2 linked regions of the Drosophila melanogaster genome follow. The protein of the gene in region 2 interacts with the protein of the main gene of each other region in a pairwise test. Each region holds a gene or a part of one and is shown on either strand. Other genes may lie near its edges.

Region 1 (4,366 bases), on a different chromosome or scaffold from region 2:
ATTTCGGAGGGGGCACTTCAAAGTTAATTATTAGGGGATGGCTATAGAGTTATAGTTGATTTATTGGGCTGTTATGGGGCCGGAGAAAATGCTTAGAAATGTGTTTTACCACCAACCAGTACAGCTAATTTTGCGACTCGGTGGGAAATTAGTTCCAGAGGCTCATAGAAGTTTAAGTAAAATAATTATTTCAATACTTAAATATGCTACCTTTAATGTCTTGGTATTTGCATTGACAACCGTTAAGAGGCAATCCCGAAACCATTTTCCAAAGATTATGTCATACCCTAGTCTGCGCCTCTTTGATTGCAAGGATAATCCCCCGTCAGCTTTCCCTGCTCATCCACAAAACCTCCAATTACACACACATCAATCCCATAAATGGACAACTATTGTATCTACTCGATCCTCAGTGCCAATCCCCGTTCCCGGTTCCATTCTCAAGATCCAAAAGCAAAGACCTAACCCTACCTGCTGCTATCGCCAAAAAGTGATCAACCCAAAGCCAGGTGATCATCGCGTCGCCCACAAAATTGCTGCCCGAAATAAGATATCTGCACGTAGCTGTAATTTAAAACTCCACCGAGCCAAAAGGAAAAAATAAGACAAAATTGAAGAAGAAGAAGAGAAGTCTCGGGCCCCTTTGGGCAACAACAACAGTCCCACAAACACATTATCCTACAGCAATAATTTCTCTTTCCCCGGCGAACAATGCAGCGGAACAAGAACTGAACTGTACACCTAGCGGAAAAATGTGCCGTGAAATTTGAGGAAGAAATTTCTAAGATACCCATAAAAGTTCGAATAATGACAAGAAAGATCGACAAAAAAACGAATAATTATTTAAACACCTTTAGTATTTGATGCTTATATCAAATTTTTAAATCAATTTTAAAGTCATACATTTGGGTATAGTCACTTATCATGTAAGTCCTTGCTCCTTTTTCGACATAATTAATATTTCAATTTTTTCAATATACAATACATTCTATAATTTCCTATTGACAAAATAATTTTCCCTATTTTTTTCGACTGCAAGGAAATGGAGATATGTCATTTGCCCGGCTGCAGAACGATCCGAAATCGAAGGAGCCGCCAGAGAAATGAAGATCGATGCCACAGGGTAGTCCCTCTATCCTCTCTCCTTCCCAATCCCTATTCCCATCCCAAATCCTCTCCCTTTTCCCTCTCTTCTGCTTGAGCAACATGTGCGCCGCTTTGTAACGCCAATTATGGTCCCATAATTCCTGGGCATTGTCAGTTTCTGTGGGAGCACAAAAGATGCGCTCCGGGAATCGGAATCGAAATGGGAATTACAAGATACAAGATCGTTTCACGGCGAGAGAACGTTCTCAGCGATGCGTATCCGAGCGGCAAATGAGCAAGAAGAGAGGAGTGATCGAGATCTTGGCCAGGTAGATTTGGATTTACACTCCGGACCGGATGGGATCGGATCGGATCGACTCGAGTCGGCTCGGTTCGGTTCTCTCTTGAGTGGAATGGAGTTAAACTCGTGGAGCTGCTCGGCTTGACCGCTCGACGATCGGCCGCTCAAATCAGTTTGTTTGTAGACTCAGACGTCGACGGACGTGTGCGTTCGTTTAAAGAAACCGGAGACTAAGAACGATCCACGAGATACAGATACCGATATCGCAGCAGTGAAAGTGTGCCGCAACGGATACAACAGCAGAGATATAGATACAAATAGAGATTACACCCGCCAGTCGACCGATATAAAAGTAAACCATGGAGGAATTGCCGCGCGCATTAAACTACGAACTCTCGCACGATTTGCATTTCGATCATTACGCCGGTGCCGCAGCTCAGAAGATTCTGAACAGCGGGAGAAGTTCTCCTGAAGCCTCCACCCCGACCATCACCACATTGGATGCCATCTCCAGCAGTGATTTCCTGAAACAGATTGGCCAGCAGATCCTCAGTTCCATCCAACTGAAACATCAGCATCAGCTCAACGAAGTCAGCCATCCGAGGAATTCCACCAGCGAGGAGATCATGGATTTCGATCTGGCCAATCGGGTGATTCTGGACAGCAGCAGTGTGGATCAGCTGCAGCAGCAGTTGGAGTACGATAAATTCATGAACGAGGTGTGGATCGGCATCGTCTTCACCCTGATCCTCATCTCGATGGTCTTCTGCATCTGCTCCTGCTTCCTGTACCATCAGTTCCGCACCTGGAAACGCAATTGTAAGTATTCCGCATTAGAAATGGGAAAATGTTCATATGGCATCCGTATATATTTGTTAATTGAGATTAAGATCTTATCGACTGCCTGTTTTGATTAGCCAGTACTGCCAAAAAAAAAAAAAAAAAAACACTCACACAATTCAAGCCACATAAACAAGTCGAAATTCCAGGCCATTATAAACGATTTTATTGCTGAAATTAGGTGACCTGACTTCAACCGTCATCAGGGAAATATACTCCATTAGAAGTGGAAATCTTTTCGTATTTTATTCCGTCTTAAGTGCTTCCACATCTCTAATGATTCACTTTGTTACGTCAATCTATTTTTTTTTTTTTTTGAGGTCGTAAAAGCGAAGTATTTCGTTAACTGTCGTCAGGTTCAAGAACAAACACCAATTTTCTGTAGTTCGTGATGCGGCCTAAAAAGTCACGAAACCTTGGAAAAAAATTAGCACATCGCCAACGAAATGGCAGAAAAGTGCGGCAAAAAATTTCAGAGAAATTCGTCTACCTCGAGTTTAATTCGAAAGCGGTGCCAAGGCAATTATGAAAAAGAATGCAGCGAAGAGAAAATATTTAAAAAGTTAATGGAAATGAAAGCCAGCAAATAGGGCAAAACAAATGCGGGCAGAAGCAATTGTAATATTGCAACTGGGTCGAGGTCTTCATTAATCTCGCCCAGTCAACTCCAATCCAACGAAGGCAAATACTAATAAACAATTATTGTTCTTTGTTTTGCAGATCGCAACAATGCAAATGGCTCGACGCAGTGCACCATTGTAGATATAGAGGCGTTGAAACTGCATCCGGATGTGGAGGATCCGGTTCCGGAATACACCCTAGTATCTGGATTGCCCAGCTACGAGGCGGCTCTGGAGCTGCTACAAAAATCCCCGCAGTCATCCTGCCTGATTGTCTATCCGAGTGTGTTCAATGTGTTCAATAAGCAGGAGAGGAGCAGCCAGGAGCTGCAGCATCCAGGAGTTGCAACATCAGCACCTCCAGCCGCACCCGAGAATCACCTGGCACCGCAGACACCTTCGTTTTGTGATGCCACAATGCCGCTGCTCCCAGCAACAACAGCAGCAGCAGCAACACATGCAGCAGCAACAGTAACAGCAGTAACAGCAGCAACAGCAACATCTGCAACATTGGCAGCTTCGCCCACGTGCGAGTCGATTAAGCCAAACTTTGTGATGATGCCAATTGTGCCCAGTTATGCGGAGGTATTCGGCAGCTCGTACAAAACCGTCGACGAGAAAAAGAAATCGAAGTCAAAAGACAGCCAGTCGAAAGACGATATCAAGCGGTAAAGGTAAAAGTGACGAGAATACGAATACGAATACCTAGCCAAGCAACTGAGCTCTGTGATATTTTCATGTTCATGCTGGAAAGACATACCCATATGTAATTAAACTAAGCGCTGTGATTATCAAAAAGACGTAACTAAACATACTACTCGCTACTAAATGTGTTAGCTGAATAGTTTCGCCACATTGTACTTAATGATATCGTATCCAGTACTTATGGAAACGCAAAGATGCATATTGTTACTAGACTTAAGTAGGCCACAAACTAATTATTAATAAATTATACACCTAACAATTTAAATTATCGTTGGTTTAATTATTACTCGAATAACAAGCTCTCTCTTAAAGCTAGAAGCACCGAATGGAGCTCTTCATCTGCCGCCAGCTTCTTTGATTATTATTTCGCCATCAATCAGTTGACATTCAAATTGATTCATTGATGCTGCAGCAACTGATTTGATTGACGCCAGGAACAGATGGCATACAAATCCTTTCGCCAGGCGGTGCCACTCCCCACTTCCACTGAGCTTTGTAAATAGCTTCCAGCTTCGGATGCCGGAGCACAACATCAACAATCCGGCAGATTGAGATAGTTGTCGTAGATAGATAGATAGATGGATAGATAGACAGATAGAGACAGTTCGATTTGACATTGAGCTAAGGACGTGATAGCTTATTCGACTGCCGGTGCTTGCAGTGCGCTCAATGCTTTTGTGCAATTGTAATTTCGCATTGATAAGCTAGTAAACCCATGTATAGGTATGCAAATCGCTGGCAGAGACAATAGACATAATAAATGATCTCAAACACTGTTTTCCTAGCATCGATGCTAAGTCGGTGGACGTGACTC
Region 2 (4,436 bases):
GTTTCTTCTTCTGTGATGTAAATGTTTCTATTTAGTCTATAATTTACAACAGAAGTTTTCAAAATCCTAAAAAATGTGCTACGTGAATAGATTTTGCCATTACTTTGCCAATCGCTACCCGAAGAACTTTGTGAGGATAGTGCATCCACTTTCGATAGTTTTCGTCCTGTGCAGCACAGCTTTCTTCTTCTCACTGCAGATGTTTTACATTGCGCCCAAAGTGTTTGGCGACATTGCTTACAAGCTCTACTGGATATTGGTCACCTTCATAACGCACAACATACTTGGTAACATGCTGGCCTGCTATATGACTAGCTCATCGGTAAACACCTTGTCCAAGGACTCCCGATGCCCGAATCCAGAGGATGAGCCCCTGTGGCACTATTGCGAATCGTGTAAAAAGCTGAGATCGCCACGATCCTGGCACTGCGTTTTGTGCAACACCTGCATTTTGAGACGGGACCACCACTGTATATTCACGGGCACTTGCATTGGACACAATAATCAACGCTTTTTCTTCTGGTTCACATTTTATTTAACGCTCGGCTTAGTCACAAGCTTTGCAACATTTTGTATGTTTATCCTGCAGAATGGCGGTAACTTCATGAGTCTCTCGTCTGTGATTTTTAATTTAATAACTAGGACTTTTTTCCAAAATTATACTGGCAATACTTTTGAGACCATTGCCTTCCTCTTGAATATAAGCGCCAGCTATATGCCTGCCTTTATGTTGGCATATCAAATGCAGATTTTAAGCCAAAACTCTACCTACTATAATATTTTTGATTGCACCTACGATCTGGGTTTCCGAAAGAACTGCCAGACAATAATGGGCCAACGAGGACTTTGGACTTTTATATCGCCCTTGCTGAAGAGTCCTTTGCCCCATGACGGTGCACATTGGCAGATGAAGCAGTCTCACTAAATTAATAGACGTATTACTAAATTATTGAAAAATATATATCGATTTTAACAAGCCAATCATAACTTATTTTCATCTAATGTCAAGTTGTGGAAAATACGGTGTTGTATTCAAAATCCTACAATCATGTGTATCGTAAATGATTGGTGCCGCGAATATGCCAATCTCTATCCTAAGAAGGCCGTGAGCATAGGACATCCTTTGTCAGTGATTTTTTTACTGGTGAGCACGGTTTTTTTCTTCACGCTGCAGGTCTTTTATGTGGCCCCCGATGTGCATGATGGTTTTATGTATAAGTTCTTTGTGATATCAGCGATTTTTACAACATACAATATCCTGGGAAACTTGCTGGCCTGCTACCGTACAAGCTCAGCAGTGAAAAGTCTGCCTCAGGAGCGGCAAATTCCGAAACCGGGAACGGAGCACCTGTGGCATTATTGCGATATCTGTCAGAAACTGATGCCTCCACGATCCTGGCACTGTGCACTGTGTAAATGCTGCATTTTGAAGCGAGACCACCACTGCATCTTCGCAGCCACTTGCATCGGACACAATAATCACCGATATTTCTTCTGGCTTACATTCTATTTGGCATTTGGGATTTTCATGAGCATGGCAACCCTATTTGTTGATGTGGGAAGGAGCTTTTATCTTTTGCACAGAATGAAGGCTGGTTTTGGAAACACAGTAAAATCTTTAAGTTACTTTCGGTACGTGTGCTTGATTCTCAATATATTTGCCCTCGGATTCCCTGCCCTCATGTTGAGATTTCAAGTGCAGATTCTAAAGTTAAACTCAACGTACTATCAAATTTCCAGTCGCCATCACGATTTGGGTTTCCGAAATAACTGCCAGCTTATTATGGGTCAGCGAGGACTCTGGACTTTTATATCTCCCTCGCTGAGAAGTCCTTTGCCGCATGATGGAACTCACTGGAAAATTAAGCAATGTTTTTAAAGAAAATTTTTACGTAATGCTTAACTCGTCAACATCAAATCAGAAAACACAAGCTTACACTCTGAATTATATATAATTTTAAAATCGGAAAATTATGTGTTTGATATGGGCCTGCACCAAGTACTTGGCGCGTCGAAATCCAAAGATATTCGTTCGAATCTCCCATCCGACCGCAGTACTATTCGTAATCGTGACAACGATCTTTTTTGTGGTCCTGCAAATGTTTTACGTGGTACCCCAATTGTTTGATGTTCAAGGATTCATGTACAAGCTCGGCTGGCTAGTGGCAATCTTTATAACATATAATATCTTTGGCAATATGCTTGCGTGTCATATCACAAGCACTTCGGTGGAGAGCCTGCCAAAGGATCGGCAAATTCCGGAGCCGGAAGAGGAGCACCAGTGGCATTACTGCGATGTTTGTGAAAAACTAATGCCTCCAAGATCCTGGCACTGTATATTGTGCAAGTGCTGCATTCTGAAGCGGGACCGCCACTGCATTTTCACTGCCAGTTGCGTCGGACACAATAATCAGAGATACTTTTTCTGGTTCACCCTCTTCATGGCTTTGGGAACTGGTGTGGCCTTGGCTACCCATATTATTGCCACCCTAAAGTATTTTAGCTATTCGGACCTGATATTCCTAAATATCCCTAGGGATAACTTACCTCCATTTTGGCTGGTCATCACTCTTATACTAAACACCTACGTATTTGCAGCCCCTGTATCTTCGGTGCTTATGCAATTATCTGTACTTAAAAATAATGGCACTTTGCATAAGTTTTACAGTGATACCTACGATCTGGGCTTGTGGGAGAATTTCAAGCTGATTTTGGGCGGAAAAGGCTTTTGGACTTTCCTCTCACCCACCGTTAAGAGTCCTCTGCCCCATGATGGTGCCCAGTGGAAGATCAAACGGTACGACATCAGCAAGTTTAAAAATTTTAACTATATTGAAACTGACATGATATACCACCTTTTGTATTTTAATCATAGTGTTCAGCATCATTCACCAAAATTACAGTTTCTCCGTGTATCCGATTGATGAAAATTTCTCATGTATTTGTACAGCTTCGGGGCATCATGCAATCACAAGTTCAAATGCAGACCATCAACATCCCAAGACGCGTGGGGGCCATCAAATCCTGGACAGATATCATGGGAGTATCCATAAATGTCTGCATAATCTTGTTTTTCTACTTCTTCGAAGCTTTCTACGTAATGCCACAGTTTTTGGGATTGTTTGGACAGGCGGTTCATTTTTTAGTCACCACTTGGATTGTCTACAATATTCTGGAAAACTTAAGGCTGTGCGTCACGACGTTGAACACTGTGGACTCTTTGCCGCCGCAAATGCAGCAGCCAATGAAAGGTGAAGAGCACCTGTGGCATTTTTGCAAAATATGCCAAAGGAATGTACCGCCAAGGTCCTGGCACTGCAACATCTGTGATGCGTGCATTCTGAAACGCGATCACCACTGCAATTTTGTGGGCAACTGCGTGGGACACAATAATCAGCGATATTTCATATGGTTCTCATTTTACGCGGCCATCGGTAGCGCAGTGGCCTTATTTGATAACTTCATGTTGGCCCATAAGCACGGTGTTGGATTTTTTGATTTAGTCAAAGCCAATTACATTATTTTTAATGCTTACATGAATCCTGGTAGAAAAGAATTAGTGATATTCTATCGAATAGTCAGTGTCTTAGGTGTCAACATATTCGCCGTTCTCTTTCCAGCAGCACTGTTTTGCACCCAAGTAGTGACGGTCATCAAAAACTCAGTAATGCACGATTATTCTGATCGAACCTATGACCTTGGATTAGGGAATAATTTGACCCTGATCCTGGGAAGTCGGCGATTATGGACTTGCCTATCGCCAAATATCAAAAGTCCCCTGCCCCACAATGGCACCCGATGGAAATCGAAGCGTGCCGTCTAGTCCAAATTTGATATCATCTATCTATTCTTGACCATTAAGATTATATTCTATTTCCGTTATGTTGTATTTGTCGCTAAATAAAGAATGTAATAGACTATAAATAACACGGACAATTTTCTTAGTTCAAAAATAAACGTGTAAAGGTGTACAGTGACTTTATATCTATGTATAAAAATTGAATGCAGACAAAACACAAAACAAAAACAATTCGCCTAGATAGAAGTCCTTAATTCAAGCCATAAACGCCCTACATTTGCATATCTCTCCGCCCACGAAAATTGCTGAGAAGTACATCCTGCCCAACGAAATCAACCTCAAATCTGTCCATGGCTTGTGACACCTTCTGCCGCAAGTCGAAAACACTTGTCAAGTGTCGAAAAAAGCTGAAATCCGTTTTGAAAAATGAAAGCGGCTAGAACAACAGCTCGGTCGGTATAGACAATTCATGGGAGTCCAGGGGGCTGGGAAATGGTAGAATTAATGACGGCGCATGCCAGTGACATGCCCCAAAACATGGAATCAAAGTCCATGAGTGGGCGTTTCCGTGTTTCGGTGCATGAAAAATGTTCGAGGTGCGAAATCTGCTGCGAGGTCTAAACAACATAATTGCCAA

What was found. Proteins that work in one complex are often made in the same cells at the same time.
Region 1: the proteins of CG17198 (region 2) and comm2 interact in a two-hybrid assay, tested with the Drosophila melanogaster proteins (one large-scale study listed by BioGRID).

Annotation. Positions count from the first base shown.
Region 1 is NT_037436.4:15,697,042-15,701,407, reverse strand, and holds comm2 (comm2), read left to right. Parts: upstream 1-1,557; 5' UTR 1,558-1,746; coding exon 1,747-2,206; intron 2,207-2,947; coding exon 2,948-3,519; 3' UTR 3,520-3,814; downstream 3,815-4,366.
Region 2 is NT_033777.3:25,772,819-25,777,254, reverse strand, and holds CG17198 (uncharacterized protein), read left to right. Parts: upstream 1-1,885; 5' UTR 1,886-1,973; coding exon of another isoform or gene 1,974-2,797; intron 2,798-2,855; exon of another isoform or gene 2,856-2,875; coding exon of another isoform or gene 2,876-2,923; coding exon 2,924-3,823; 3' UTR 3,824-3,921; downstream 3,922-4,436. Other genes in the region: CG17195 (uncharacterized protein), read left to right, coding at 74-925; CG17196 (uncharacterized protein), read left to right, coding at 1,049-1,879; CG17197 (uncharacterized protein), read left to right, coding at 1,974-2,797, 2,876-2,924.